4 linked regions of the Caenorhabditis elegans genome follow. The protein of the gene in region 3 interacts with the protein of the main gene of each other region in a pairwise test. Each region holds a gene or a part of one and is shown on either strand. Other genes may lie near its edges.

Region 1 (8,340 bases), 8.4 Mb from region 3:
CATTTGTGACGTCACAAATGTATTTAAATACATGTTTTTGTATACTTGAATACAGTTGTGACGTAATTGTTCTACACTTTTTAATTTTCCGACATTACTTGAATAACCCCATAATGCAATAGTGTTAGTACTAAACAATAACGTGCCATAAATTTGGTAAAACTGTGAAACGGAAAATAAATATTGATTTATGATTAATTGTTTTTTTTTGCTGTTTCACTTAGTCTCAAAATATTCTGGGAACCTAAAGTGTCAATAATTGGTCGAGATAAACTTTTTTCAAACAAAAAATCGATTGTAAACAACGCTTTTGTTAAAATTAGTTATGTAATAAATTAGCCAATTTTTATATGCACTTTCTGAAACTGCAATAATTTTAATGTTTTACGTTTCACTTGAGACGTTTCACTTTCACAGTGTTTTTAAATAATCATTGCTAACAGGAATATCATTGGAACTAAATGTTGTTTTTTTGAGAACATAGTGAAACAGTTGTCAGTAAATTTAAGAATGTTACTTTTACCCCAAAGTCTCTACTTTTTAGCGTGTCAGTAGGCTTTTAAGTAAAATGAATTTTTGTATTTTTGGTAAAGTAGATTCATTAAAATATAATAAAACTGTAAAGCTTCAAATTATCAGTTAAACTTTACTTTTTGAAAATCAAAACAACTCGGGCAAGTGAAACAATTTTTTTTCTGTTTCTCATTTTTTACATAATTTCAGATCACAATTTTAATTCAATGGTGATCGTGTAAATTCTTGGATTTGAAGTTCATTTTTGTAACTACTTTTTTTTGTCGATAAGATTGTTTCAGACTACTAATCTGTTCAGATTTGATTGTAGTTATGGCTTTAGTCTGATTGTAGTCTGAAGCCGCATAAATTTCAGCAGGAATATATAAAAGTCTCGTGAAACACAATGTGAAGAAATCAATGGTGCAGTGTAATTGAAAATAATAAATTAGTTGATACAATAAATGAAACTATATTTTTTAATTGATATCAGATTTTTGACTTTTTGCCAAGTAAAACTAATAAAGTGGTACACATTAACTAGTTGAAGCTAGATGAAGCATTATTGATTAAAACTGATTATGTTGTCAAATTATCAAATTTGGTTCAGCTGTGTGAAAAAGGAACATAATATTTATGAAAATTTCTCTGGCGCACTTATTTAAAAAATTTAAAAATCAATATCGTGTAAAAATACGTTGACATTATTTCATTGTACACCTTTACACTTAAACCAACATTGTGAAAAAGTACTTGAAGTATTTTTGAATTTGACGAACTCTTTATATGCAAAAATGGCGCATTTACTATATGTTCAAACTTTTTTTCCAACTATAAAAGTGAAAAGAGCTATAAAAAATGCTAAAGTACTTAAGGGCACTGAAATCTTTTTAAAGTTGGAGTTGAACATCATCTGAGCCGATGATCTCTGAGATCAATAAATTTAATTCATGTTGATGCTAACAGTTCCAATAAATGAACACCATGAAACAATTTTTATAGATTTTGTGCTCAAATTTGAAGTGAGCAACAGTTTTCTGCGCAGTAAAATTTTCACTGTTGACCCAAAACTATTTTTTAAACAGTTATTATTGATTCTTTTTAATTTATATTTAAGTAATATGCGACTCTACAAATTGTGGCTGGAAATATAGTAGAAAATCTCGAACAGAGCCAAAAATTGCACGGGACTGCAATTTCACAACAAAAACTTTTTACTATGGGACTAACATTTCATTTTAATTTTAGCTCATGTTTCACAACACATTGAAACAGTAAAAATTTGAAATTTTCAAATTATTGAAACCTTGAGAACTATGAGAGGAGCGCTGGAAAAACTTTTATATAGACAGCTGAAATGTTTTTTTTTCAGAATTGAAATACATAAGTTAATAGAAAAGTCAACAAAATATAACAATTTCAAAAACAAATTATTCCATTTCCACTTCCTCTTCGTCATTGAAAATTTCTGATTTTATACTTCCTTCTGGGTTTTCTTCGTTTACCTGATAGTTACACATCATTTCTGAGCCATTTGGGAAAATTAGTCGGGATCTGAAAAAAATTATCGATTTTTATAAAACTCAATGAAATCACAAACTCTTTGAGCTCTCCATCCTCCTTGCGGAGTTGCTCTCGGAGCCATCTTGTGGCATCTTCACTTGCTTCGTTTCCATACATTTTGTTGTGGCGGCCTCTCACACGGTCTCTGAAAAATAAATTTAGTACTGAGCCCTGAGACAGTAAAACTCACAACTTATTGCCCATAACGTCGGTGACCAGCTTCCTCACTCGAAACTTCAGGTCTCGCGATTGTTCTTCGCCGAACCCACCGAGTATGTACTCTGGAAGAGGAACATGGTTTTTTTAATATTAAATTTCCTACTGTTTCAAAGAATTTATAAATTTTTGGTGAAACGTGTGGAAAACTAACCAGCAAACCCTTCGAAAAAGTCCCTAGCGATGGGAATATATGTAGAAGCGTTTTGTGAAGTTGCGTAGCACATCATATGGGGGTCCGCAATGGCAACCTTAAATTTTTGGAGTTTACGCAAGATTCTATAAAGTCTACGCAAGACTCCACTAAGCATACCTTATCGAAAACCGTTCTCGCCAGAGCTCTCACAAGAGTCACCAAGTTAGCCGTCGACCAATTCGACACATCTCCATCCGTCACAACATCGGAAATCATGAACCATTTCCTGCTGGGCAACGTCAAAGCTCTGTCAAACTTCTCGGCTGAGTCAATTGAGAATGCCTTGTTCGTTGTGATCGGTTCCGTGATTTTCTCCGCTTTTCGAGAAATCTTCCTGTGCTGCTTGTTTGCCTGAAAGCGAATTTTTTTTAATTTTCGAAACTTTTGGAAATTGCTCACCATCGCCGTAGTGAAAGCCATTCCAAGTGCCATTTCCTCCATCAAATTCTGATTTTGTGTTCGACACCGCTTGGCGAAATTGAGCCATTCGTAGTAGTCAACATCACGGTCATTTTTGATGAGTTTCTCCAGGTTTTTCTGAAAAATTTGAAGATTTATTTGGCAGGGCTAAGGTCTTGACTACAATGATGTACTGTAAGCAACTGACATCTTACGAGTTAGACTGCAAATTCCGTGGTGGGCCCGTAAAATGTCGGCTGCTAGCAACAGCAGTTTTAAAAGAGTCCACGGGTAATATTTTGTTCCTATAAACAAGCCGACATTTCACGAGTCTCAACATTCAATATTGTTCTAACTGGGCCATTGTGGTGTCGGCTGCTATCAAATTTCAAGCACTTGGATTTCAGCTCCCGACACTTTGCGAGTTTCTTTAACAATACTGTAAAGCACCGACTTCTGCTTCCGTTCGTTCGTTTTAATGTCGGCTGCTAGCAAAAGCAGTTTTAGAGGAGTTCGCGGTGAGATTTTGTTTCTACAAGCAAACCGACATTTCACAAGTCTCGCCATGCAAACTCGTTATTCTAACTAGGCCCGTGCAATGTTGGCTGCTATCAGATTTCAATCGTCTGAACTTCAGCGCCCGACACTATACGAGTTGCTCTAGAAATAATCCCCTCAAAACCTACCTCACAAGTCTTCCGATCCAATGGTTCCCCTTTCGCATAATCGTACAATTCGGAAGCAGCGAATCCAATCGGCAACCACATCCCATGCTTAGAGGCCTGAAGAAGGGGTGCCGAAGATGTTTGAGCAATTGGAGATGAGCTGTACTCTATCGGAAGGGTCTTACGACGAACCATCCCATCTCCATCCAACCAATCACGACAGAACTGCTTGGTGGATCCTTCAGACGTATTGGTCCATTCGACAGTGATACGGTCATTTGTGGTATCTACTTGTCCGAATGCAAAAGCATCGCAGGAAATTGTTAGAAGAATCTCCTCACTTGGATCGAGTACTCCACAATTTGGAGTGCACATCGTATCAACTCTGAGTCTTTTCATATATGTATTGATTCCATAAGCAATACGAAGAGCCGAAGTATTGATTAATTTGATTTTAGATTCTTGGTTTTCATTGTACGGAGCATTGAAGATGATTTTGCTCGGTTGGAAGTCAATTTCTCCTGGTGGAAGGGATTGAGCCATCACGGGGGAAAATTCTCGGGGTCTTTTAGGCTCAAAATCCTGGTAAACCTTATGTTCGACTGGAGCAACTAGAAGATCTTCCGGTTTTTGTTCGCATAGGAGTGGATACGGAGCAGGTCTTTTTGAAGCTCGGCGGGACATCTGAAAATTGAATTTTTTTTAGATTTTGAGCGTTCAAATAAAATTCAAAAAATCAATAGTGATAATCGACGTGGTGTCAGGTACACACATTCGGTTTGATCTACGAAAAATGCGGGAATATTTATTCATAAAAATTGTGACGTAAGCACGCTCTAAACCATGCAAAATCAGATGATATGTCTGCGTCGCTGCTCCCACATTTTTTGAAGGTCAAAGCAAAATGGGACTTTCTGACTAGCACTCGTTTTTTTTAAATTAAAAAAAAGATTTGAATTAAAAAACCGCGAATTTTCAAAATTAGTGAATAACAATATAAAATTCACGAGAAACAAGAAACAACACAAAATAAAAACCGATAAAATCGAAAACGTCACCGCACGGGAAGCATTGTTTGCGCGCAATGCCTCCCGCCGCGAGTTGAGAGACCGAATTAGTGTGAGAGACGCAGGTGGTGGTAAGAGAAATGACGAGAGACGCAGAGAAAAGGAACGTTTCAGGACAACGGACGTTGGTTTACGAGAGGGGGGTTTGGAGCGTTTTTAGTGTTTATTGATTGGTTTTGATTAGAATTTTGAATTTTTCGAGCGTTTGCCCCACAACAAAGAGATGGCAAATATTAAAAAAAAACTGTTAACTGTTAGAGAAAACATCTACTGTTTAAACAACTAAGCATAAAAGAAAAATTAAAATAAAAAATTAATTAATTGAAAATACTGTTTCAAGTTTGTATTTAATATTGATGTAACTTTTTTAAAATGCTGGGGAAAATAAAAATAATTTCACTTTTTCAACTGCAAATCATAGCTCCAAGAACAACTTGACATATTATTGGACTGATAATCTGTTGTTTCGGGAACATTTGTTAACGTTTATTTTTTCAAAGATAATTCCCTATAAATGATTTTTAATGAAAGAAAAACGCGGAAATCCTATAATTTGTTTTGCATTTCGAGAATTGAAATTACAGTTTCAAGTAGACTTAAAATTACTAGATAAATTTGATCATTCAATAATGCTTTTAAGTTTGTCGAAATTTCGAAGAAAAAAAATTTGTGAAACTGCTTAAATTTTCAGAAATTAATATTATAAAACTGACTAGTTTCATTATTGTTCGTGTATTGGAAATATTTGAAAATTAGCTTTTACTGCACTGATTTATATCTCATATAGGTGAGTGAAACTCGGTAGATGTCGGGCGCTCATATTTCGTTAGCGTTAGGCGTTCTTGAGAAACCCCACAAGTAATGTGGAATAATGTGTTGATTATCGGGTTTTTTTTTCACTGTTAAAACGACTGGAAAGGTCGAAGGATCTATCTACTAAAAATAGTTACTCAAGTTTTTCTTTTGAAAACCAGTTGAAACATCTCTGACAAAATTCAGATTTCTTTTCTCAAAAAAGTGATTTGAAATTTATAAAATAATTGATATTTCTAGAACACATTAAACAACTTTATGAAACTGTTTTTGGTGTAAAATCATTTTAAATGAAGGAAAAACGGAAAAATCATATAATTTTTTACGTTTCGAGAATTGAAATTACTGTTTCAAGTAAGAAATAAGATTTCAAGAAAAGTTTACTTATTCAATAGTAATTTAATGATATGACAGTAATTTAATTCAATGAAAAAAATTGAACCATTTTCCTTCAAAAATTATCAAACTTTTCCACAGTTTTCGAACTTAAACTACTGCGAAGCCTAGCGCGCTTGACGCGCTAATCTACCGTTCTAACTTTATAAAATTCATAATCAGTAAAATTTATGAAATAATCAAAATTTTAAAGAATAAGTATTTTAAAATGTTATATTAGATACCTTATCTGCTATTCAAAAGAATGAATTGAAATATAAATAAAACGCTCCCAAATATTTTAAATGCCATCTGCATTTCGATCAATCTAGCAACAGTTTAGGAAGTTGTTTTTTATTCATGAGCGTTCAAAAAAAAATTGCGGTTTTAGAAAGTGGACAAACGGGTATTTTCATATACATATTGATGATTGAACGAAAATGATATTTTTGTAATTTTAATTTGATAGCTTTCTAAAAATGGGAATTTAAAAAAACAAATGAAAAAAAAATAATTTGATGAAAAACAAATCCATGAACAAATTAAAAAATTAATTGCTACCAAAACACACTGAAACTTTAAATTTATCTTCTATTTTTCCTTAAAAATTTTTTAATTTCACAATTAGACGGCAAGAATAAGTATTTTTTTTTAAAGACCATTTTATAATGAGACCGCCTACTTTATGCCGCGAAATTGTCTGTAACATTGCTTTTTTTTGGAAGAAATAACACCAACTTATTGCTCTAAATTTACAAAATTCTAGCCGACTTTACAACAATAAACAAGACATAGAATACAACTAAAAATCCTAGCCCACACTTAACCACAATGTGAAACACGTATTGATTTCAACCATGAACGTCATTAGTTAATTTTCAATTAGAAATTGATTCTTCCATGCATTATGTGAGAATAAACAGGAACATTTCAGAAATATACTCTGAATTGTTTCATTTTGTCATTTTAATTCATTTTCAGTAGGATTTTATTCAATAAAAACATATTTTGTTTCACGTAACTAATATAAAAACAATGAGCAGCAATATGCGTAGCTAGTGATTGAGTAGTAATGCAAGCTGGAAATGAAAATTGAACATTACTATTAAAGTTTTAAAAAAACTCTAGATTTTATCATTTGATTGTCTAAATATATTTTTAAAAAACTAGCTTTTACTGCACTGATTTGTATCTTATAAAAGTGAGTGAAACCCGGTAGATGTCGGGTGCTCATTTAAAGGCAGGAGTTAGGTCTTCTCGAGCAACGTACACAAATAATGTGTTCTCGAAATTGGTGTGTATAAATTCAAAATTAAAAAAAAATATAAGTACTTACCTAAAACGTGAAAAAATTATTTTAAAACCCGTTTCACAAAGTAGGTTTATTTAAATTGTTAAATTGTTTTAGAAACCAATAGTAGGACACTGATTTTTTCATTATACTTTTTCAAAATATTTCCATGGAATGAAAACCCCGACAATTTATGATTTATCTGAATTATCGATGACTTCAAAGATTTTTCTCACTTTCTTGTTTTTCTGTTTCAGATTTTTGTTAAGTTATACAAATTGTATGGTTGAGTGTTTTAGTTTTTTTTCGAATTAAACTAATTTTATTTAGTAAACTATTTATAAAATATATAAAACATTGTAAATACTGTTATAACAACTTTTATCAGATTTTTATTCAAAATGAGATGGCAATTTCAAAAAAAAAAAACATTTCCACTTTCAACGTTTGATTAAGAAATACACAAGGATTTGCTGACACAGGCTCCCCAGTTTCAGCATGAGCAGAGATAGGAAAATATATTACGATGTTTCTTTAATAAAAATGTTATAACAAGATCAATCTATACATAATTACGCTGATTAAAATCGTTTTTCTTGTTATTTTTCTTGAACCATTTCAAAAATGTACTATTTCATGATGTCAATATAAAAATGAATTTATCGATATTATTATAAAGTTATCGCATGGCTTTATAAATGAAAAAAGTATCGAAGGTAAAGGAGCGGATGCACTTCCCGAACTTTCGAAATCAGGTTTAAAAAAAAGTCAAAATATAACTTTACTGTTTCATTGTAGAAGTAAAGTATAAACTTTTTAATTTCAGTGTTACTCAGTCAGCGATCGAGAAATTCAATTCTAGCTAGATAGTTTGTAAAAAGTGTTTATGCCTAAATATGGAAAGAAAACACCGTTTATTGCGCGGTTTTATGGAAAAAATTACACAACCTTATTGCTCTAAATTTTCAAAATTTAGCCGATTTGACTACATAAAAAAGAAACTAATACAATTAAAAATTCTAGCACACTTTTAACCACAATGTGAAACGCGTCGATTTCAACCAGAACATCATTTGTTAATTATCATTTAAAATTTGATTCTTCCATGATTTATATGAGAAAAAACTGAAACATTTTAGAAAATATACTCTAAATTGTTTCATATTGTCACTTTAATTCATTTTTAGTGGTATTTTATTCAATAAAAACATATTCTGTTTCACCTAACTGTTATGAAAACAA
Region 2 (8,720 bases), on a different chromosome or scaffold from region 3:
AGGAGTAGCTGCATTGAATATTATCGTTGGGAATGTTCCGCTGTTTTTAGGCAGCTCTTCACGTAAGTTTTAGCCAGAATTAAGAAAAAGTTGAGAAAAAGATGAGAAGTTCAGAAGCCACTCTGGTACAGGGGTGTGCGGCAAAATTTGAAATTTGCCGAACTCGACAAACTCGGCAAGTCCACATTTTTGAAATTTGCAAAGCTTGGCAAACGACAAGCTCGGCAAATTCTGCAAATTTGCCGCACATCCGTGCTTTGATAGAATCGAACGAAAACTAGTGAACTCAGTTTTCCCATTAATTTTTGCACTTTTTGAGCTCCAAGAAATATTGCCTCTTTTGGTAGATCATAGAAGGTCCCGGGCATTCTTGTCATATTACGGCGCGCCGCGGTTTCATCTAGTTTGCCGGTTTGCCGGAAATTTTTATTTTCGGCAAATTGCCGGTTTGTCGATTTGCCGAAAATTTTCACTTCCGGCAGTTTGCCGGTAATTTTCAATTCCGGCATTTGACCTATTTGCCTATTAACCGGAAATTTTAATTCTGGCACTTTGCCGATTTGCCAGAAATTTTCAATTCCGGCAATTTGCCGGTTTGCCGGAAATTTTCAATTCCGGTAATTTGCCAGAAATTTTAAATTCCTGCAAAGTGGCGCTTTTCCGATTTGCCAGAAAATTTAAATTCCTGCAAAGTGCCGGGTTTCCAAAAATTTTCAATTCCGGCAATGTGCCGGTTTGACGGAAATTTTCAATTCCGGCAATTTGCCAGAAATATTCAACACCTGCAATTTGTCGGTTTGCCAATTTGCCAAAAATGCTCAATTCCGGCAACTTGCCGATTTTCCGGAAATTTTCAATTCCGACAATTTGCCGGAAATTTTCAATTCCGGCCAATTGCCAGAAATTTTCAATTCCGGCAATTTGCTGATTTGCCGGAAATCTCAATTATGGCAATTTGCCGATTCTCCGATTGCCAGAAATTTTCCGGAAAAAAACCTATATGCACCTCTGCTGACAATTTTTGGCAATAAATAAACTAATTTTCCGGTCAAAATCACTGAAACATGAGCACTCAAATATAAACAAACTCTATTTTCCAGTACCCCCACGCAAATTCGTCGATGGAGAAGATGCGCAGAGCTGGACGGTCGATATGAAGCCGGTGTTCACCTATCAAGTGCCGTATTATGGGCATTGAGGTCTTCTGTCTTCCCTGAGCTTATAAAATACCATTGTTATCACATGCTGCTATTCCGTTTGTTTCTTTTGATGGAATTCATTTTTAATAAAAGCATTTGTTTGACATCTATAAAAAAGTATCTTCTAGCAATTTAATTGCACTAGGCTGTTCTCAGAATACCCTCCAACAAAATGGGTTTCTCATTTTCGTTCTTTTTTCCCTTTTTTTCGACGTCTCTTTCCGTTTTCTCTGTTTCTCAGCACTCTTTCCGTCCATTTATCAAGGGTTCGTGCGTCCTCTGCCGGCATCAAACCACACACACACACACACACACACATTTTTTGTTCAATACCTTCTAAAATAGTGTAACTAACAAGAAATTAACAATAGGAATTGAGGTTTCAGGGATTTAGGCTAGAGTTTAGTTTTTTTTTTTTTTTTTTTTAGTTCTTTAGTTTTTTTTTTACTTAACAGTTTTGTCTGAGGAAATATTTTTCTGAGTAGTGTGTGTTAGTCACCCCGATTTTGCATTTATTCCTAACAAATATATAATAGGCTGGGTTTTGAAATTCTATTTAAAAAAAAACTGGTCCTATAAAAACGGACGATGAAATTAATGAATTTTTTTTATTTTTAGCATGTTTTAAAGCTATTTTTCTCCATTGTTTGACCTTTTTTGCCAATTTGCCCATTTGCCGGAAATTTCAATTCCGACAAATTGTCGTTTTTCCGACAAATTTTAAATTCCGGCAATGTGCCGATTTGCCGGGATTTTTCATTTTTGGCAAGTTGCCGATTTTCCTAAAATTTCGGCAAATCGTCAATTCGCCGGTTCCCCGATTTGCCGGATATTTTCAATTTTTCCTTTTTTTTTTCAAAATTTGCAATTTGCCGATTTCCTGATTTGCCGGAAATTTCAATTATGGCAATTAGCCAATTTGACGGATATTTTTAATTCCGGCAATGTGCCGCTTAGCCGAAAATTCAAATACCGGCAATTTGCCGATTTGCCGGAAATTATTAATTCCGACAATTTGCCGATTTTCCTAAAATTTCGGCAAATCGGCAGTTTGCCGGTTCCCCTATTTGCCGGATTTTTTTTTTCAATTCCGGCAATTTCCCGATTTGCCGGAAATTTCAATTCCGACAATTTGCCGATTTTCCTAAAATTTCGGCAAATCGGCAGTTTGCCGGTTCCCCTATTTGCCGGATTTTTTTTTCAATTCCGGCAATTTGCCGATTTGCCGGAAAAATCGTTTGCCGCCCACCCCGGGTTCGGCCATTTCTAGCATATTTTTCTCCGTTGTTTGACCTTACAAATTAACTTTCCCGAATGTCAGAAATTTTATCACTATTTCCTATTTAATCAGTAATGCTTCTCCTATGTCTTCTTCCGTTTAGCTTATCAATTCTTCCTGTTTGTGAGCAACGTTTCTTTTTCACAAGTTTAATGGAAAAACGTTGGTCTTTGCCCCGTTCTTTTATCCTCGCTGTTCCCTTTATTTCTCTGCGGCTCTTGCGGAGTGCGATTTTTTTGACCTTCAATACTGCATGTGTCTGTTTGCTTTGTTTCGAGCGGCTATTCCGTAATTTTCATGAAATTGTAAAAAAAAATCTAGTAAAAAATCGTTTAAGAAATTAGAATCAGTTATTAATTTTTTTTTAATTTGAACTTTTAAAATTTATTCTATTACCCAGACACGAGATTTCGCGATTTTTGAGCCACAAATACCAAACACCGGTCTCAACACGACAAATTCTTGATAGAAAGGAAAAGGCGTTCGCCTTTAAAGCGTACTGTAATTTCAAACTTTTGTTGCTGCAGCGATTTCAAATTTCTATGGATTTTTCATAGTTTTATTTTTATATTTGAGAGTTTTTTTTGCTATATTCATGTTTTCCATAAATTAATACATTTTTTTTATCGAAAATGTGTTTATTAGTTATTGAAAACTAAAATCAATTAAAAAAGAAATTTTGAAACTACAGTACTCTTTAAAGGCGCACACTCCTTCTCAAGTACGCAAACACCACATTTTATGACAATTTCTGCAAAATTTATTTCGCTCCTTTTTTTTGAATTAAATTAAATTGTTTTTTTCCTTTCCTTTTCAATTAAAATGCATAATTTTTTTCTATTTTTTTAAAATAAAATATTAAAAATCAAAAATTCGTTTTTTTTTAAATTTTCAGTGTTCTCTCCACCGATTTTCTTCCGGTTTTTTGAATTTTTTAACGATTTTTTAACGATTTTTGTCTAAGTTCCAGGGTTATCATGCCAGAAACGGAGCTTCACGTGATATTCGACCAGCCTAACGAAGTTTTCTTCCCGGGACAACCGATTTCCGGCCGAGTGGTGCTCTCAACGACGAAGGAAAAATACAAGGCTCGGGCGGTGAATATCAAAATTTTGGGATTGGCTCACACCAGTTGGACGGATTATGAGAGTGTTCGCAGAGTGTAAGAAATTTAAGATTTCTGTAGAAAATTTCATTTTTTTTTTGACGAAAAAGCTATTTTTCAAATTTTTTAAAATGGAAAATTGAATAATCAATAAATATTTCCGAATTTTCGAATAACACTAAAAAATTATAAAATTCGAATTTTCCAGTGACGCCGACGGAAAAGTGAGCCACCACCGGCAATCTGTGCACTACTCTGCGAATGTGAACTACCTGGATTATACATTGCTTCTGTGGGCTTGCAAAGATGGATCGGTAGGGTATTTTGAATCAGGGATAGATAGGCAAACCGGCAAAATCGGCAAACCGGCAAATTGACAATCTGCCGCTTTCCAAATTTCCGGCAAAGATGGCATATTGCCGTTTTTCAAGTTTCCGGCTAATTCGGCATATTGTCGTTTTTTCATATTTACATCAAGTTCGGCAATTGCCGTTTTCCAAATTTTCGGCAAATTGCTGTTTTTTTTTTAAATTTCCGGCAAAGTCGGCAAATTGTCGTTGTTCGAATTTCCGGCAAAGTCAACAAATTGCCGTTTTTTCAAATTTCCGGCATATTCGGCAATTGCCGTTTTCCAAATTTTCTGCAAATTGCTGTTTTTTTTTTAAATTTCCGGCTAAGTCGGCAATATGCCGTTTTTTCAAATTTCCGGCAAAGTCAACAAACCGGCAATTTTCCGATTTGCTGAAATTTTCGGTAGCTCAAAATGAAGAATGGTTGAAAATTACAATTATTAGATATCTGAATATTTGTCAGAACGAGTTAGCAGCTGGAGAATACGCCTGGTCATTTTCTTATAATCTTCCTCTCAACGTTCCGCCAAGCTTTGAGGGAAAATATGGATATTTGAGATACTCGGTGACAGCTGAAGTGGATCGGCCATGGAGATTGGATAAGGCAAAGAAGCGATGCATCACTGGTAAGGGCTACAGTTTTAAGCCTAAGCCTGACAATCTAAGCCTGAACCTAAGCCTGAGCCTACGCAGCTGAAGCCTAAGCCTAAACCTAACAATCTAAACATAAGCCTAAGTCTAAGACTAATCCTAAGCAGGAGTGGCATTTTTCGATTTTTCGATGTTTTTTCAGTGAAAATTGAAAAATCGAAAAGAATGTTAAGAAAATTAACCATAAAATATGATTTTTTTTAAAATCTAATTTTGCTTATATTGATGAGAAAAAAACATCAAAATTAATTCTAAAAATAAGAATAATGGCCAAAATATTGTGCTAATATTTTGGAAAATCTAAAAAATTTTCGCAAAATCAGAAAAACGATAATTTTTTAAACATTTTTCGATTTTCAAAAAAATCGAAAAACGAACACCCTTGATCCTAAGCCTAAGCATAGGCCTAAGCCTAAATCTAGACCACTGTCTAAGCCTAAGCCTAAGCCAAAGCATAAGCCTAGGCCTAAGCCGAAGCTTACGCCTAAGCCTAAGCCTAACGGTCTAAGTCTAAGACTAACATTCTAAGCCTAAGCCTAAGCCAAAAATTCAAACATTTTCAGTTTCCCCACTGATCGACCTCAATGTGATCCCCCATGCACTCACCCAAATCAACGACCAGGCTAGCGAGAACCTTGGCTGTTGCTGCTTCAAAAAAGGATATCTCGAACTTCGTGTAAACATCCCGAAAACTGGATTCGTACCCGGCGAGACTGTTCCCATGAACATCCATATTCTAAATCACTCCTCCGTTCCCGTCACCGAAGTCAAGGCGAAAATTATTCAGCAGTGCAAGTTCATTGCATATCGAAACGGTACCACCTTCCATTATGGCGGAGGCTATGAGACTGGAATGTCCGGACAGCTTCAGGAAACCAAACACGACACGAAGACCGTCGTCAAGCATGGCCAGGAAATGACAGTGGCTCCCAGGAATGAGCACAAATTTGCGATGGAGCTCCGTCTTCCGTCTGTAACTCCAACCATCAATCAGTTCTCACCGGTGATTACTGTAGAGTACATTGTGCAATTCCACGTGGAGACCAGCTCAACATTCGGGAGTGATGTTGATTGTGAAATGGGGATCCTGATTGGAACAGTGCCTATTCGGCAGTTCCTTCCACCAGCCTACTATCCACAGGATCCGAATCTTCCACAGATCCTGCCAACTCCGATTGGAGGAGGGGTTGTTGCTCCACCACCAGGGTATGGATTCTTGCCGATGGCAGATGGCTCGGAGAAGGGAGCTGGTGATGCATCATATCCAGCTGCCAGCATGCCAATGTATCCTATTCCGAATGTCCCATATCCTAGCAAAGATGATGGTACTGTAGTGATTCCAAGTGGTGAGTTACTCAGAAGTCCAGCACAATTCTCTAAAATTGCAAATTTTTCCAGCTCCACCACTATCCTACGAAGAATCAATGTTTGGACAAGATGGAACCGAGCTCAACACTGATGAAAATGAGCAACCATTTGCTCCAAAATACCCGGTTTTCAACAATTTGCCAGTTTATAATCCGACAGCGCCACCACCGGAATAATCCGAAGAATGAAGGATTTTCATCGGACTCTGCCCTGCTTTGCCGAATATTGTTCAAAATTATCATTGCTTTTAAAATGTTTTTTTGCCTGGTTGGATGTGTTTTTGTTTTATTTTAATGCATAAATTATTAAACTTCAATCGAATACTTGACATTGAGCAAAAAATGACTAATTGCCGGAATTGAAATTTCCGGCGAATCGGCAAATTGCCGGAATTGAAAATTTCTGGAAAATCGGCAAATTGCCGGAATTGAAAATTTCTGGCATATCGACAATTTGCCGGAATTGAAAATTTCTGGAAAATCAACAAATTGCCGGAATTGAAAATTTCTGGAAAATTAACAAATTGCCGGAATTGAAAATTTCTGGAAAATCAACAAATTGCCGGAATTGAAAATTTTTGGAAAATTAACAAATTGCCGGAATTGAAAATTTCTGGAAAATCAACAAATTGCCGGAATTGAAAATTTCTGGAAAATTAACAAATTGCCGGAATTGATAATTTCTGGCAAATCGGAAAACTGCCGGAATTGACAATATCCGGCAAGCGGCAAATTGCCGGAATTGAAATTTCCGGCGAATCGGCAAATTGCCGGAATTGAAAATTTCTGGAAAATGGGTAAATTGCCGGAATTGAAAATTTCTGGAAAATGGGTAAATTGCCGGAATTGAAAATTTCTGGAAAATCAACAAATTGCCGGAATTGAAAATTTCTGGCATATCGACAATTTGCCGGAATTGAAAATTTCTGGAAAATCAACAAATTGCCGGAATTGAAAATTTCTGGAAAATTAACAAATTGCCGGAATTGAAAATTTCTGAAAAATCAACAAATTGCCGGAATTGAAAATTTTTGGAAAATTAACAAATTGCCGGAATTGAAAATTTCTGGAAAATCAACAAATTGCCGGAATTGAAAATTTCTGGAAAATTAACAAATTGCCGGAATTGAAAATTTCTGGAAAATCAACAAATTGCCGGAATTGACAAATTGCCGGAATTGATAATTTCTGGCAAATCGGAAAACTGCCGGAATTGACAATATCCGGCAAGCGGCAAATTGCCGGAATTGAAATTTCCGGCGAATCGGCAAATTGCCGGAATTGAAAATTTCTGGAAAATGGGTAAATTGCCGGAATTGAAAATTTCTGGAAAATGGGTAAATTGCCGGAATTGAAAATTTCTGGAAAATCAACAAATTGCCGGGATTGAAAATTTCTGGCATATCGACAATTTGCCGGAATTGAAAATTTCTGGAAAATCAACAAATTGCCGGAATTGAAAATTTCTGGAAAATTAACAAATTGCCGGAATTGAAAATTTCTGGAAAATCAACAAATTGCCGGAATTGATAATTTCTGGCAAATCGGAAAACTGCCGGAATTGACAATATCCGGCAAGCGGCAAATTGCCGGAATTGAAATTTCCGGCGAATCGGCAAATTGCCGGAATTGAAAATTTCTGGAAAATGGGTAAATTGCCGGAATTGAAAATTTCTGGAAAATGGGTAAATTGCCGGAATTGACAATATCCGGCAAGCGGCAAATTGCCGGAATTGAAAATTTCTGGCATATCGACAATTTGCCGGAATTGAAAATTTCTGGAAAATCGGCAAATTGCCGGAATTGAAAATTTCTGGAAAATCAACAAATTGCCGGAATTGAAAATTTCTGGCATATCGACAAATTGCCGGAATTGACAAATTGCCGGAATTGATAATTTCTGGCAAATCGGAAAACTGCCGGAATTGACAATATCCGGCAAGCGGCAAATTGCCGGAATTGAAATTTCCAGCAAATCGGCTAATTGCCGGAATTGAAAATTTCTGGAAAATTGATAAATTGCCAGAATTGAAATTTCTGGAAAATTGACAAATTTCCGGAATTGAAAATTCCCGGCAAATCGGCAAATTGCTCGACAAAAAAACCTTGCTGATTTTGACTGAACATTTATATTTTTTCTTTTGTGCGTTATTAGTCATTCGGATATAAACATCATTGCTAACAACAATTTTAAAATTCTCTGAGGAATCGGTCGCTATTTAAACAACCAAAATCTGTTTTTGTTCTTGTTCTCTGTGAGTAAATATTGTTATCAGGTTTGATTATTTAACACACACCTGTAAATGAAAATACCCAGTAAGATGTCAACATCTTAATTGATCACTTGTTCTCTCTTCCAACATTTATTTGTTCTATTTTTCTTATGAAATATGAAACATTAAAATTCGTTTAAATTTCCCAATATTCTCCATTTTCAGTGTTCTCTCCACCGATTTTCTTCCGGTTTTTTGAATTTTTTAACGATTTTTTTCCCAATTTCCAGGGTTATCATGCCAGAAACTGAGCTTCATGTGATATTCGACCAACCTAACGAAGTTTTCTTCCCGGGACAACCGATTTCCGGCCGAGTGGTGCTCTCAACGACGGAGGAAAAATACAAGGCTCGGGCGGTGAATATCAAAATTTTGGGATTGGCTCACACTAGTTGGACGGACTACGACAGTGTTCGCAGAGTGTAAAGAATTTCAATTTTCTGTTCAAAAAATATTATTTTTAAAGAAAATTAAAAAAAAAATTTTTTTCGAATAA
Region 3 (8,655 bases):
TTTAAAATCAGGGCTTCGCCCCGATTTTAATAAAATATATGAAACCCTCTTAAAAAGTTACAAGAAGGTTTTTCCTTGCGCTTGGAGCGCAATAGAAAAGAAAAAGAGCTATTTAGACTTAGGGTGCCCAACTGGAATAAAACATTGGAAATCCCAATCCAACCAGCCTAAGGGCCCGAAAAACATACTAGGATGCCCAACTTGAATAAAATATAGGAAATCCTTATGACACACTTAAGCCTAAAGGCCCGAAAAACATACTAGGATGCCCAACTGGAATAAAATATTGGAAATCCTTATGACACACCGGCGGTATGGCGCGGCTTAAGCCTAAATAGCCACTTTTATCAAAATACATTTGAGCGAGGCGGTTGTAAACTATTCGTTCTTTAGCAAAAATAAAAAAAAACTTTATTTAAACTTAAAAATAAATATCATATGTTATCACACCTTAGAATATCACGCCTTAATTTAGTAATCATTTTAGTTCATAAGTGTGAGAGAAAGAAAAATGGATTAATCATCGGAATTAGATATCATCAGAGTGATTATATTCATCAAAGGTCCCACTTTACTGGAGGGTTAATTTGGTTGATATAAAATTCCTATCTCATGTAAAGAAAGGTTCGAATTCTGTACCTATGAATGCTGCCGATATTTGAATTCCTGTCTCATGGGAAGAAGGCCTTTCTTGTGGGAAGAACGGAGTTATAAAAAAATATACGCAGGTACAGAATTTGAACTTTTCTTCCCATGAGATAGGAATTTGAATATTGGCATTCTATAACTTTACTTTTAAAAAATCTCCAAAGGTTGCTCGCAAATATGTAGAGATTGCTCGCATCCCTTCAAATATTACAAAATTTCCAAGTTTTTTAGAAATAATCTTCATTTAGATTATTGAAAAATATCCACAGATTACTTTTGAGTTGCCTGAGAAGTTATTGTAAAACGCAAGGCGAGCTGATGGTACAGAATTTGAACTTTTCTTCCCATGAGATAGGAATTTGAATAATGGCATTCTATAACTTTACTAAGAAAAAATATCCCCAAAGGTTGCTCGCTTCCCTCCAAATATTACGAAATCTAATCTCCAAGTTTCTCAGTAATCTATAGTTTTCATTTAGATTACTGAAAAATATACACAGATTACTTTTGAGTCTGAGAAGTTATTGTAAAACGCAAAGCGAGCTCAAATGTATTTTGATAAAAGTGGCTATTTAGGCTTAAGCCGCGCCATACCGCCGGTGTGTCATAAGGATTTCCAATATTTTATTCCAGTTGGGCATCCTAGTATGTTTTTCGGGCCTTTAGGCTTAAGTGTGTCATAAGGATTTTCTATATTTTATTCAAGTTGGGCATCCTAGTATGTTTTTCGGGCCCTTAGGCTGGTTGGATTGGGATTTCCAATGTTTTATTCCAGTTGGGCACCCTAAGTCTAAATAGCTCTTTTTCTTTTCTATTGCGCTCCAAGCGCAAGGAAAAGCCTTCTTGTAACTTTTTAAGAGGGTTTCATATATTTTATTAAAATCGGGGCGAAGCCCTGATTTTAAATCCATATTGTTTTTTTTGTCTTCCACTATCCCTGAAAATAGGAAAGAGAATGTGTTCTTTCTGATGAAGTAAAAATCAGGATTTACCAAAACAGGATGCATATAAACATGGATGGAGTGGGCGGAGCGAATTCGCAATCACCGCACGCTTATTTCGCAAGCCTCGCACGTTTTTTCCTTGATTTTGTTGCATTTTTTCAAAAGAAAAAACGTGCGAGGCTTGCGAAACAAGCATACGGCACTATCAAAATTTATGAATCGATCCTTGGATTTTGCAAAAACTTTTGTCGTGCAGAAAGTTGGGCGAAGCGTCCTTTCGCAACACTGCCGCGTGGGGTTTGCCCACGGCCCTTTTTAACTGCTTTCTTGTTGATTTTTTAAATAAAGTTTCGATTTTTCTTTTTTTTTCGAATGAAAATGTTATCCAATTCGAAAAAAGAGAAAAATACAAGTAAAATCGAAACTTTATTTGAAAAATCAACAAGAAATTAATTTTTGCAAAATCCAAGGATCGATTCATAAATTTTGATAGTAGTTGTCAATTGGCTCCGCCCACTGCATCATTTTTTGGTAAATCCTGTTTTGAACTGCATTCTGTTTTGGTGGGGCCTCGAGACCACAGCTTTACATGGAGGCTTAGCCCATGCACCAAGTGAAGAGCTAGTCATCAATGCATCTAGACTGGAAGGATCCATCGCTTCCCGAGTAAAGTTGCTTGTGATCAAAGGTGTCAGTGTCCCCTAAAAATTACAAAAACGGGACAACGGGAATTCCCGTTCCCGTGAAAATTTTTAAAACGGGACAACGGGAATTCCCGTTTCCGCGAAAACACCCAAAAAACGGGACAACGGGACATCCCGTTCCCGTGAAAATGACAAAAACGGGACAGCGGGAATTCCCGTTCCCGTGAAAATTTTAAAAACGGGACAACGGGAATTCCCGTTCCCGTGAAAACACCCCAAAAACGGGACAACGGGACAAACGGAACACGGGAATTGACATCCTTGCTTGTGATGGGATTGGAATCGGACAAAATCAAATGCAAGGTCGCAATCATGGCTGAAATTAAGAGTAGAGGGAATCTGAAAAGCTCCCGAAAAATTTTTGAATCAGCTGCAGCAAAATTTCCGAACTGCCAGTAAGACAACATTTTTTAATCAATTTTTTTGAAACTGACTTACTTTCAGAGCTATAATAACCGGACGAGTCATTGTAGAAGAGAACGCAAATCGCGGTGCTGAGGCTGAAAAGCTTACCCGTGATTTTATCACCAAAAATACTGACGTCAGCGGAGATGAGTTGATAAAATTTATCAACTACATGGAGACCTACGATTCCAAGTTTGGTTTAAAGGTAAGCCTGTAAAACACTGAAAAATGTTAAACGAATTATATTATAACTATATTCTTCGCAATAGTGATTCAAATTGAACCATTTCAGGCTGCAATTCAAGTTGCAAAGGACAATCTTCCATGGGCCGGCGAAGAGAACATAGACCAATGGGTCAACTGGGTCAACCTACTGATTAGTCTGAAAAGTTTCAAAAGTTCCAAACTTTTCTGTGAACACGGCATGCCAGCAGCGTTGGGGAGTGTATCTTTTCTTAAGTTTTTCAATAGATCTTTGCGAAAACTGTAACAGGATCGACACTGACCGAAGCAGATCAGGTGTTCTCCTGGATCCAGGAACACAACAAGAAATTGCGGGAAAAGACGGCTAATGTAAGTTTTTCGGACTAGAAAATACTCCTGGTTTTTTGTTCAAAAGTATTATATCAAATGCATTTGATGCAAATGCAAATGCAAATGTAACCATAAATATCATTATTTTTCAGGTGGTGCAGGATGAGAGCGGCGACGAGTAGGATGCAATCACAAAATTTATTGCTTTATAATTTTTATAAAATCCGCTGTTATTAATATTGTAAAGAATGTTGAGTAAATAAATTTATTATTTAAAATTTTTTGTTAAAAGAGCTTGGTACCCAAATGTATTTAAAATTGCCATATTTTGAAACCATTTGAAGCGAAGTTTGACATTTTAATCAGACATTGTTTTTTGTTCTTAATATCTTTAACATTTACACGTTTTCCTTTTTTTAAAGAAGATCCATCCAAAAACTCCGGAGCTTCTTTTCCCTAGTTTTAAAATCTACGAGTGAGACCTCTTATCTGCCAATACGCTCTATTGTGTGCGTTGCGTGTCAACCGCGACGCTTCTGCGACATATTTTGTCTCGTTATCGACTATAATTTTTCCCCAATCCTACTGAAATCTTTCCATCTTACATGTAATTCATTGGATTTTATTTAAAAATTTCTGTTAAAGTTTCTCAATATCGCTCTTTTCTTATTTTAAATAATTAAGCTGTAATCTTAGATACTTTTTGTGTTGCGAAATCTCTGATAGAAAGTTCCGCAGTTTTTAAACGTTTTTTGTTGCTTTTTACTTGCGCTACTATTCATTTATCAAGTTTTTTTCTTTCAGCAGAATGAGTTCAAACAGACAGGCTTATTATAAGAACAATGCCAAAGAGCAAATTGGCAAGGAAAAAAGGAACGAAGAAGTAAGTTCGATAAACTTGTTAACGCATACATTATTCAATTTTAAGGTGGTTTCGATCAGAAAGGATAAACGAGAGGAGGCAATTTCCAAACGGCGTAATATCAATACCCAAATTGAGTGAGTTTTTCATCTGATTTTATATGCTTCAGCTATGAGAGCTAACAAAAGTGTTTCATACGCTTATCACAGTAAATTATCTGTTCCAGTTTTTGAATTGTTTTAATTTTCAGAGATGATTCTGAGACTTCAACAACCCCACCAGGTCCATTTGATGCCAACCTCCTCCGGTTGACAGTCGCTGCTGCCCAATCGAGCGATCCCGCTGAGCAGCTGACTGCTGTTCAACAAGCCCGTAAAATGCTATCAACTGATAGAAATCCACCAATTGATGACTTGATTGGCAGTGGGATTTTGCCTGTCCTCGTTCAATGCTTGTCCAGCACGGAGTAAGAATTTTCATAAGGTCGCATCAAATTACTGTAAATTTTCAGTCCAAACTTGCAATTTGAAGCTGCATGGGCCCTTACCAACATAGCATCTGGTACATCAGAGCAAACACAAGCCGTCGTGAATGCCGGAGCCGTTCCTCTCTTCCTGCAACTCCTGTCATGTGGAAATCTGAACGTTTGCGAGCAATCTGTCTGGGCTCTTGGTAACATCATTGGAGATGGACCACATTTCCGTGATTATTGTCTCGAACTCGGAATTCTCCAGCCACTATTGCAGTTCATTAACCCGGAGATACCTATTGGCTTCTTGAGAAATGTCACATGGGTTATTGTCAATCTCTGCAGGTGCAAAGATCCGGCACCAAGCCCAGCTGTGGTTCGTACGATTCTTCCCGCCCTCTCACTTTTGATCCATCACCAAGACACCAACATCCTCATAGACACCGTTTGGGCCCTTTCTTACCTCACCGACGGTGGAAATGAACACATTCAAATGGTTATCGAAGCTCAAGTTGTTACCCATCTCGTTCCACTCCTTGGACACGTTGATGTTAAAGTTCAAACAGCAGCACTTCGAGCTGTAGGAAATATTGTGACTGGAACCGACGAACAAACACAACTTGTGTTGGATAGCGGAGTAAAAATTTTCATTTATGACTTTTCCAAATCTTAAATTTCAGGTTCTTCGGTTTATGCCAGGACTTCTCGCCCACTACAAAGAGAAAATAAACAAAGAGGCTGTTTGGTTTGTCTCCAACATAACTGCTGGAAACCAACAACAAGTTCAAGACGTATTCGACGCCGGAATCATGCCAATGATTATTCATCTTCTTGATCGAGGAGATTTCCCAACTCAAAAAGAGGCAGCGTGGGCTATTTCCAACGTTACAATCTCTGGCCGTCCAAATCAAGTTGAGCAAATGGTAAAGCTTGGTGTCCTTCGTCCTTTCTGTGCGATGCTCAGTTGCACTGATTCGCAGATTATCCAAGTAGTGCTTGATGGAATTAACAACATTCTGAAAATGGCTGGAGAAGCTGCCGAACAGGTGACATCAGAGATTGAAGAGTGCGGAGGTCTTGACAAGATAGAAAATCTTCAAAATCATGAAAACGAGGACATTTACAAACTGGCTTTCGAAATTATCGATAACTTCTTCAGGTAGGAGTCCAATTATATTTGATAAAAATCTTCAGAGTCCGTGTGCGAATGTTTGGTGTATACGTTTTTATATTTTCAGTTCCGATGATGAGACTGGCAACGTGGAAGGAGCTCAAAGTTCTGCTTTTGGAGGCGACGTTCCACCAGTTCCTGATGCTCCAAACGGAGGATGGAACTTTGGAAAGTAGATCTCCATGATTCCTTTAATCACAAAATACGTTTTGTCTTATTTCTCGTAAACAATTTCGCATGCCGTTCCCATACAAATGTTCATGTAGTTTTCGTCTTACTATTTTTCACACCTCACTTTTTGTTAGGTTCTCGTGTATTTTCATCTGACACGCGAGTTCCTAAGCCAGCTTCTCGGAAATGCAAGCTCTCTTTCATGTGAGATTTTGCACTTTTTGACCAATTGAGTTTGCACGTTCTTCTACAATCGATTGTCAATTATCTCATCCTTTCTTTATCTCTTCGTTGTTTCTGTACCATCAGTGATTTGATTAACATTTCACTTTTTCATCCACCATCTTTTTTCCATTGTGATTAATTAGTTACAATGTCCCCGCCCTCTTCTTCGTGTGTGCGAGAGTGACTGTTTTATGATAATATATTTCGATTTCTTTTTAAAGTGAGTGTGTGAGTTGTGCATTTTTGTTGAGTTTTGTTTTCATTTTTGTTTCCCATTCGCGCCCGTTCATTGCCCGCGTCCCCCACCCTCATCCTTTTATCATTGTTACCGCGTCGTTTTCAAATCTCTCATCATTTTTCCCAGTCCCTCCAATCCCCACGGTCCCCAGATTTTCTCTCTAAAAGCGAGTATTTTCATTTTCTTCACATGTTACTTTTATTAATTCTTTATCATATACATAATTTCAATTTCTTAGAACTTCTGATCCCCCTAGTTTGCTCATTTCCTAGTCATCCATCATCATTCTCGATTTCATTAGTTCTCGGAGAATCTCGTTGATAGGCCAAAAATTCCAATCACCCTGCTCCTCTTAGTTCTCGTGGACTCCAGTATTCTTTTTCTTGAAACCCCACCCATCCCGTAAGGCCTTTTTAAAGGTATATCGAGCCGTCCCTCTTCTCATCATCCATCTTCTTTTCTCATTTTCCCTCTCATCTTCCTCATCCCATTTTCCTTTCTCCCGTTTTGCTATTCTCGATTGTCTCGACTGACTGGCCAATATTCCCTTTACCTGGTGTGTGCTCTCATAATAAATAAATCAAATTTATTTGTTAAAAGTTGTTGTAAAACGAAACAATAATACACGATTTTCATTTATTTCATGACAAACTCAAATTTTCCGGTTTCTTCCAACAGTGAGCAAAGTTGTTCGGGGTCCACATTATGTTGAAGAGAAAGTTCGTCAATTGAAGTTTTTCCATTACACCGTTTCAGGAGACTTAAAATTGTATATTATTAGATAGTATTAATTGATTAACTTACGTGTTGTTGCCTGGGTTTGCAACACAAATAGGATATTTAGAAAGTTTACGAAGAAACTGATGATGCATTCCAAATTGTACAAGTCGCTGTTCATCAATACCCATCGATCTTGGTTTCTCCAGATCGGCCCATTCTGCTAGATTGTTGCCGCACTGAAAACGTAGTCGATTGCTATCAGATTCGTCGATCGGAAGTTTAGGTCCCACCACTTTCATGCTCAAATAAAGTCGGAACACATCCGAAAATTCTGGAGTTCGCGTTGGAATTTCTGAGCCGTCTGCACCGATTTCCGTTTGAATTTTCACAAACTCAAGGCAGTCATTGATTTCCGTTTGATTTTTGTAAAAGTCGTGAACTCTTTCAGTTGCCACATATGTATTATAGTAGAGAAACATTGGAACAAGACTGACACATTCGTAGAAGTGTAAATTACGAACACATCTGGCGACGAGGGATGGATCAAGTTCGAGAATAATAGCAATCTCTCGAACTGTATTGATTCCATCAATTTGAGGAATAATCTTCTGTGACAGAACATCCATTTTTTCTATGAGATGATCGGTAAGCGTCACTTCTCTTATGAACATTGGAACCATATGATAATCGATTTCTGGAGGTTCACATCCACGATACAATGGGCATAATTTGAAATATAATGTCACAATCTTTTCATCTTCAAGACTGACTTCAATCACACTTTCGCCTAAATTTAAAATCTTGTTATTCATAGAAAAATACAAAGTTTACCTTTATTCGACAGATCATTGAACATTCTCTCCATTACATCAAGAACCTGATCCTTGTATTTTGGATTTGTGAGAAATTTGTATTCCATCTCCAATTCAATCAAATATTCCGCGCATTTCTGTACAATTGGCTCATACATTGTTTCTGCAGATGATGTCATGTCAACGATGAAAGCCATATCGAAAGTGAAACGACCACGTTCGTAGCTTTTGTGATCTATTCCAACGGGAAACATGAGAACTTTGCAGCGAAGAGATTTGATGGTCAGTGAAAATGAGTTACGGAACATGGATGGTTTTGGAATGATCAAGCCTGAAACATAAATTCATTTTATTATTTGGATTAATATAACATACCTTTTGTGAAGTGAAAAGTTGCCTCAACTTTATTATTTTCTTTCGGAACAGAATGTTTGATGATTGCACCTAAAGTGTTATGAAATTCTGCCAACAGAATTCCGAGAAGTTGTGGGGCATCATCAAATGTATAATGACCGAATCGACCACCACTTGAATCACCTGTTGCAAAAGGTCCTGCTCCGAATGTCGCAAGAGTTTTTTGACGCTGAACCATTGTTTAGCGTTTTTTAGTCTTATTGTAAGCGGTCCGCTTGATGACAAAAATCCGGGTAATGGCAATAAAAATACCAATAACTGCTCCAATAAAGCAACCGACGAGGGAAGGAAGAGGGTATCGCTGTAAATTAATTTATTACACATTTGACAAGAAGTGT
Region 4 (6,741 bases), on a different chromosome or scaffold from region 3:
CTTACCAAGAAATTTTAGCTAATGCACAGTTCAAAATGTGTTATCACACTTTCAAACAAAATTCTGAAAGCTACAAAATTCTTCAAAATTTCAAAATGTTCCTGATTATTTTTTGGAATAGTTTGAGCATTTAAACTAAACCCTACCTGAAATTTTGAAAAAAAATGCACGAAAAGCTAAAAACGTCAATAAATGTCATATAATTTAACCGTGAAGTAAGTTAAATTTTATTTGTTTCAATTTACATGTTTCAAAAAATTAATTTTTTAAAAATTCATTGATAAAAAGTCTTTAAAATATTATATGAAAATGCATATTGAAAATCATTTCTTCCATTATAAATCACCATATTCTCTTGTTTTCGTGACTTTGTTTTTCACATAGACCTCATAGAATGCTAATAAAATTTTTAACAACGTTGACATGACTAAACAAGCTAAGACTATATTTCCTTGTAAAAAATCAATTCATTCAAATTTTCAATAACATGTTAGGGTTGGCGTATTAAATAACAAAAATTGTGAAAAAATTTAATTCCAAGACTTATTAAAATTCTCAAAATAATTATTCTGGTCTGCACTCATATGGACTTCCAGCTCCTTTTTCAGCCGAACTTTGTTTACTTGAGCCTTCTTCAACAATGCCACAATTGAAATAATGGCATATAAGGGGTAGGAGCCACTCCCTGAAAATTATTGTTTTCCCAAAACTTTATATTTTTCAGTTTTACTGTTTCATCAAAATTGAAATGTTTTTTTCTTCAGATATTTGATGTTTTACAAAAACTGTGTGCTTACACAACTATAATTAGGAAATCAGATACATACATTGTCATGAAACATCATAACACCGTATATTTTATGACTCACATTCAAGTAGAGCCAAGTAAGTAGAAGATTCAAGTTCTGCGCCAAATTTCAATAAGAATAGAAAAAACATAATATGGATAACTTGAAATCCAGTTTGTAAATTTGCAAATAGTTTCAATGTTCTCATAGACTTTAGGTTTTGCTCCAAAGAATATCGATTTGACAATGAACATGTGATTTGTTTTGCCCGGAGCCTCTAAAATTAGAGTATACAGCTTATACCTTTTTAGTGAACACCTACATACCTCATTCAAGTTAAACAAGTACTGAAAAATAACTCTTCCAACTATTTGAGCAAGGAGGATAATATGGAAAATCACTTCGACGTTAGTAACAAATCCCTGCTTGATAGCTGTGCAGTAGGGCATAAAAGGTTCCTTGAATGGAAATATTAAGAATGCATAATAAGTTGTCATAGTTGCAATTGAAAACTTAAATTTTTCAAAAAAGTTTTAAAATTTTCGAAGAACTGGGTTTACCTGCTTAATAGCCATATAAATCCCCAACGCACACCCAGTTTGTTCATATTTTGACGATTTAATTGTTGCAATATATCTTTCAATTACCAGTGGAATTGTAGTTGCTCCAACTAAACATAGGCCAAATACATATTGAACGCGGAGCACAAAACATCGAGTTGTGCTTGCAGGCATGTCACAGTAGTCAAGGATCAGGTAGTTGTGAAGGTCAATGGTGTGAAGCACTATTCTGGAATCAGAATTGGAATGCATTGCATATTTAGACCACTTGCGTGTCTTTTGGAGTGTCAAAAAATTTGGCAATTATCGAGAACACAAATTTCGAATAAAATACTCAAAAAGCAGTAATAAACTATTTTTACTGTAGTAAATTTTTTCTTTCTCAACTCGTAAAAACCTGAAAATTTTAAAATTTTTTCGATAATTTTAGTTTTTGTTGGTTGCCGGATTGTTGAACCGCCAGGAATTTGAATTGCCAAAAACTAGTAATATTAGAAATACCTTTTTTAATAGGTTTATATTAAGTGTTTAAATGTTGTGGAATTTTTTCAGTTCCAAAAAAACTAAAATTATTAAAATTATTAAACCATTCGTTTTACGAATTTTAATTGTTGAGTTATAGTAACATCACAAAAATTATAACCTGTTCGAGCAATGCAAAAAAAATCCGAACCAATGAACTTGAAATATAATTATTACATTGACGTGGAATAATCTTGCAACTTGCGCAGTCCATAAACTATAACTCGCTACAATAACCATTGTTAAAGCCAAAAGACTAGATGCAAGTTGAAATGTTATAGTGAATCGGAGGAATATGGACGAAGACAGGGATTCCATTATTTTGCATTGTTCCTGATATGGTGTCATCTGAAATATTTGGAAAATTTTTTTGGAGCCCTAGCATTAAATAAATGCATGCTCCTGAAATGCATAAAGTATTGCTAAAAATAAATTTTTTTCCAAATTAAATATTTTAAAATAAAAAAAAATTGAGATTCATGAAAAGTTCTCGTAGAAAAGTTTTGGCTGAAAACAAAAAAAAAGCACACATAGAAATTTTTCTGAGAGATGTGCTAATGAGTTGGGAATCAGAAAGCCATAATACTATGAAATATAGTATTGTGACCTCATCTTTTAAAATTTGATAAAAACATCCATCGAAACATGAGTCAAAATTTGTTTGCGTGATTGGTTTTTTGGAAGGCCCAAACTCCCAGGGGGCAAAAAATTAGGGGGCATCGTGTTCTTAGGGGGCATTTACTCCAAGGGGGCATCACTCATAGGGGGCATTAGGGGTCAATGTTCTTAGGGGGCATTTTCAAAAGTCTCAAAGGGGGCAAAGTTTTAAATGAGTATTTGTTAAGGATACGATTTTTAATGATTTGTCAAAAATGGAATTCGGCCTTAAATACTAATTAAACACTTTGAAATGGAAAAATTATGATGTTTTATTTGTCTTGTTTATTAACAATATTTTGAAAAGTGTATGTTTTCGGTGGGCAACTTGTTATATTTGTATCTTTACAGTCATCCAAGATAGTTGTTCAAAAGTTTTAGATACTACAGAAAATAGTTTTTAAACAATTTTGGATGTGCTCTCACGAAAAATTAATGGAATTGTCAAGAGCGGGGATGTAGACATAATACATTCCAAAATCTTATAGCTCCGTTCGTGTGTGATATAAGAAAAAGTGGTCAACTGAAAAGTCGTCACCCTGTATAGTAATCAGCAAATTATTAGTTTAAACTTTTTGTCTATATTGGATGACTGTAAAGATACAAATATAACAAGTTGCCCACCGAAAAAATGCACTTTTCAAAATATTGTTAATAAACAAGACAAATAAAACATCATAATTTTTCCATTTCAAAGTGTTTAATTAGTATTTAAGGCCGAATTCCATTTTTGACAAATCATTAAAAATCGTATCCTTAACAAATACTCATTTAAAACTTTGCCCCCTTTGAGACTTTTGAAAATGCCCCCTAAGAACATTGACCCCTAATGCCCCCTATGAGTGATGCCCCCTTGGAGTAAATGCCCCCTAAGAACACGATGCCCCCTCATTTTTTGCCCCCTGGGAGTTTGGGCCTTTTTGGAACGAATTCTAAATTCTAAAATTTCAAAATTGCTATATAATCATAGTTTGTCTGAATTGTTTTTTTTTTAACTTTTTCAGCAGGTGGTGTTATAGGGGAAATTACAAGATCAAACCACTTGGAGTTCAGCTTTTTTGCTACTCGATTTATGTTTTTAATTTGAAATTAAAATGCAAAACTATGCGGTTTGTAAATAATTTTGCTTTTGAAAGAAAACTAAAATAAATGTTTAAAAAATTTTGAACATTTTTTATGTAGCTTGTAACAAATGTTTTTTCTTACTACAATTACTATAAGTCTCAGCCCAATTTCGGCATGGAAGCAGAAAAAAAATTGCTCATTTTCAGGCAAGTTTCAGATTTTTCCAGATTCTCTGGCCAGCAGTCCTGGGAGCTCGGTGGGTCCGTTCCTCCTAGTACTACTTACGATAGAGTCTTAATTTTCACTTCCTGGTTCAGTTTTTAAAGAAACCGATGAATGTTTCTCAAAAGATCATCAACAACTGTCGAAACAAACTTTTAGAACTTTATCCCTTCAAACGTTACACACTTTTTTTCCGCCTTTCGACATGAACAGTTGCTACTCTGTTCAGAATAGTTCCCCGGCTCGAGTCGACAGGATCTCATGTTGTCTATTTTTTCGTTTATTTTCAAGCTCGGCTCTATGTATGTAGTTTGTTTTTTCAGGAGATGAAGCTCGTCCTCTTACTAGTCACCATTGGTATATTGTCCCTGGATTTGGTTCAAGGTGTAAAAGTTAACCTAGTACCTTTGGGAAACATGGTCAATTGTACTCTGTCTGTTGAATTCCATTCGATTGGCTGTATCATGGTTTGTTTTTATATGAATACTTTTTTTAGTAATATTTAGTGTTTTTTCAGCGTTTAGGCGAGTTTTTCGATGATCTTGATAAACTTGAGCTGGACGATAAGGCGGAAGTAGTCAAATTTTCAAAGTCCTGCGAAACTATCCCCACCTGCTTTGAAACTCCGCAGTGTACACCAAAGGGTATCGCACCAGAGGAGAAAAAGGAAATGGTCAAAAAAATCAAAAACTATTGTAGCGGGGTTTCCTATATCGCCAACGACTTTGAAGAATGCCGTGATAAACTTGCGGAGAACAAATGTTACAAAGATTGGGACCCGTTCCAGAGAAAGTTCAATCTGGAAAAGGATGAGAAGAAAAAAGAACAAATGCGTGAAGATTCTTGCAAGAATTATTTTGGAGAAGACAACTGTATGAAGACGGTGGTTACTGAAACATGTGGTGAATCCGATTGGGCCAAACTTCGCGACGTAAGTATTCCGGGGGAATTTAGAGAAAACAATTTTTATTAAATTTCAGCACTTCGTGGGAATCGGCAACAATATTTTGAGCGAATGCGGCTTCAGCAAAACTGATTGAATAACTTTATAATTTTGATTTACTTTCTGATTTTAATTCGATAAATAAAATTTTACCATTTCGATCAGAAAGTTATTCTATTCGGAACGTTCTGCGCCGATTCAATCGTTTCAGACTTTCGGAGTTGCTCCAAATCGAAAAATTGAAATAACTATGTAGTTTTGCCATTGGTACTAGTACCTGCAGTCGAGTACACCATACCAAACAAAAAAACAAAAAAAATTACATTAGTTTATATAATTCTATTGTCGAAAAAGTAACAGCTTCTGACATCCGGCAGGTTTGTAATGCCATGTGACACAAAACTGAAACTAGGTGTTTTCATGAAGATGTCTTCTTTTTCCAAAGTGTTGTTCTGTCACAAAGTGAGCAGGATATTTTATAAAATACCTTGATTGGCGGTTTTTTCGCGGTACGGCTCACGGCACGAGGCAGGCGGAGGTCGCCGCAGGCATTTTGGCGCCTGCATGGAATTTTTCCACCAACATTTTTGGCCGCTAGATAATTTTTTCTCACGATCAAAGTTGGTTTTGCAATAAATCCTGTTCTCTCTGAAAAAAATCCTGAAAGCATATTTTGCTGCTAAAAAATGTTCCTGCATCAAAACTAATTCATTAATATTTTGTCATCAGAATTATAATTATCCAAGTCTGCTGAAGTCACACTTGCTAACCAAATCGGAGGAAAGATTGATGAACTGCTGAAAATGAATGAATTTTCCAAAAAATAAGTCTTTACTTGTTACTTACCTCACGAAATTTATCCCATTCTTTTTGGCTACACGTTTCGACAATCTCCTTCTTCATGCAGTCATCTTTCCCGAAATATCTCTTGCAAGTCTCTTTTTTCATTTTCTCAACCTTCTTTTCGTCTTCTTCTAGATGAATTCCATCTGGAATCGGGTCCCAGTTGTCGAAACAAACTGATTTTTTCGCAGTAAGTTTATCACTACAATCGGAAAAATCTTCGTGGATGTACACAACAGCTTCGCAATTTTTTTCGACCATTCGGAACAACTCTGCTTCGTCCATTGTGGAATTTGGCCCACAGCGGGTAATGGCAAAACAATTTTTTAGAGAATCGCAAGTTTTCTTGAATTCCTTCAGTTCACTTTTCTTATCCATGTCGAGTTCATCTACTTTTGCTGCGAAGTCGCGAAGACGCTAAATTCCAAATTTGAGAACTAGATAAATTTCAAGTTGTTAAAAAATTCACTTACCTCAATACAAAGGAATGTTTGAATGGCAGATCGCAACTCACAATAAGTTTCTTTCTCGGCAGCAGTTAGATTTGCTCCGTGAGCCACTCCCAAAAGCACAGTACCAATGATGGCAAGCTTGAGAAAACTTGTCATTTCCTGTAACAAAAAATGTAATCACATTTTCAATAAAAGTGGAAAATTGAAAAAAACTGTGCCGGAGAGTTTTCACTGATGTGAGCTACCTTGTTTATAAATGTTTCAAAAGATGATACAGAACACTGTGACAACTGGCGTAGATCTTCAAATATATCTTTAAAGAGAATGTGGATTGCACGTTTGTTTCACAAAATCAAATGTACAAACATCCTGATGGAACTCAATCCAGGAATTTTTAACATCGAGACGTCCCATGATTACACAAAAAAACGTAAGATAGCAAGTTGGACAGTGGACAGTAAGAAGCCCAACAAGAGTTGGAGCATTTCATTCAATCAAGGAAAGCGTTTGAGCTCGCGAGTAGACTTCCAGTGAGGGATTTTGTCTAAATGCACTTATTAAAGGATTAAAGGATTAAAGGACGATCCGTTCTTCAAGTGCTATGCACTGCGGATCTGGGATTCAGGTACATTGCCTGGTGGTGATCCCTCTGGGCTGTAATTTAAGCCACGTCCTAGCCGGGGACTGTG

Evidence for each region.
Region 1: the proteins of ima-3 (region 3) and Y105C5B.19 interact in a two-hybrid assay, tested with the Caenorhabditis elegans proteins (one large-scale study listed by BioGRID).
Region 2: the proteins of ima-3 (region 3) and arrd-13 interact in a two-hybrid assay, tested with the Caenorhabditis elegans proteins (one large-scale study listed by BioGRID).
Region 4: the proteins of ima-3 (region 3) and exh-1 interact in a two-hybrid assay, tested with the Caenorhabditis elegans proteins (one large-scale study listed by BioGRID).

The regions. Positions count from the first base shown.
Region 1 is NC_003282.8:15,979,735-15,988,074, forward strand, and holds Y105C5B.19 (Major sperm protein), read right to left. Parts: upstream 4,237-8,340; coding exon 3,574-4,236; intron 3,026-3,573; coding exon 2,888-3,025; intron 2,840-2,887; coding exon 2,606-2,839; intron 2,544-2,605; coding exon 2,447-2,543; exon of another isoform or gene 2,443-2,446; intron 2,358-2,442; coding exon 2,267-2,357; intron 2,222-2,266; coding exon 2,114-2,221; intron 2,068-2,113; coding exon 1,944-2,067; 3' UTR 1,841-1,943; downstream 1-1,840.
Region 2 is NC_003280.10:13,754,966-13,763,685, forward strand, and holds arrd-13 (Arrestin C-terminal-like domain-containing protein), read left to right. Parts: upstream 1-3,442; 5' UTR 3,443-3,455; coding exon 3,456-3,640; intron 3,641-3,791; coding exon 3,792-3,897; intron 3,898-4,396; coding exon 4,397-4,559; intron 4,560-5,147; coding exon 5,148-5,930; intron 5,931-5,982; coding exon 5,983-6,128; 3' UTR 6,129-6,270; downstream 6,271-8,720. Other genes in the region: arrd-14 (Arrestin C-terminal-like domain-containing protein), read left to right, coding at 1-62, 1,101-1,198; arrd-11 (Arrestin C-terminal-like domain-containing protein), read left to right, coding at 8,462-8,646.
Region 3 is NC_003282.8:7,557,049-7,565,703, reverse strand, and holds ima-3 (Importin subunit alpha-3), read left to right. Parts: upstream 1-4,039; 5' UTR 4,040-4,043; coding exon 4,044-4,118; intron 4,119-4,163; coding exon 4,164-4,234; intron 4,235-4,347; coding exon 4,348-4,563; intron 4,564-4,608; coding exon 4,609-5,203; intron 5,204-5,246; coding exon 5,247-5,725; intron 5,726-5,804; coding exon 5,805-5,913; 3' UTR 5,914-6,963; downstream 6,964-8,655. Other genes in the region: F32E10.9 (TPR_REGION domain-containing protein), read left to right, coding at 2,567-2,691, 2,741-2,906, 2,994-3,191; nprl-2 (Nitrogen permease regulator 2), read right to left, coding at 7,008-7,131, 7,176-7,878, 7,923-8,234, 8,279-8,495; F49E8.8 (Phosphatidylinositol-glycan biosynthesis class F protein), read right to left, coding at 8,499-8,618. UniProt on the Caenorhabditis elegans protein: Binds specifically and directly to substrates containing either a simple or bipartite NLS motif. Promotes docking of import substrates to the nuclear envelope. Seems to act as a cytosolic receptor for both simple and bipartite NLS motifs.
Region 4 is NC_003283.11:3,152,955-3,159,695, forward strand, and holds exh-1 (T20D4.11-like domain-containing protein), read left to right. Parts: upstream 1-4,131; 5' UTR 4,132-4,140; coding exon 4,141-4,281; intron 4,282-4,331; coding exon 4,332-4,745; intron 4,746-4,794; coding exon 4,795-4,854; 3' UTR 4,855-4,917; downstream 4,918-6,741. Other genes in the region: srab-7 (Serpentine Receptor, class AB (Class A-like)), read right to left, coding at 531-685, 870-1,065, 1,115-1,300, 1,349-1,577, 1,992-2,218; UPF0376 protein C36C5.12, read right to left, coding at 5,495-5,554, 5,604-6,017, 6,074-6,208.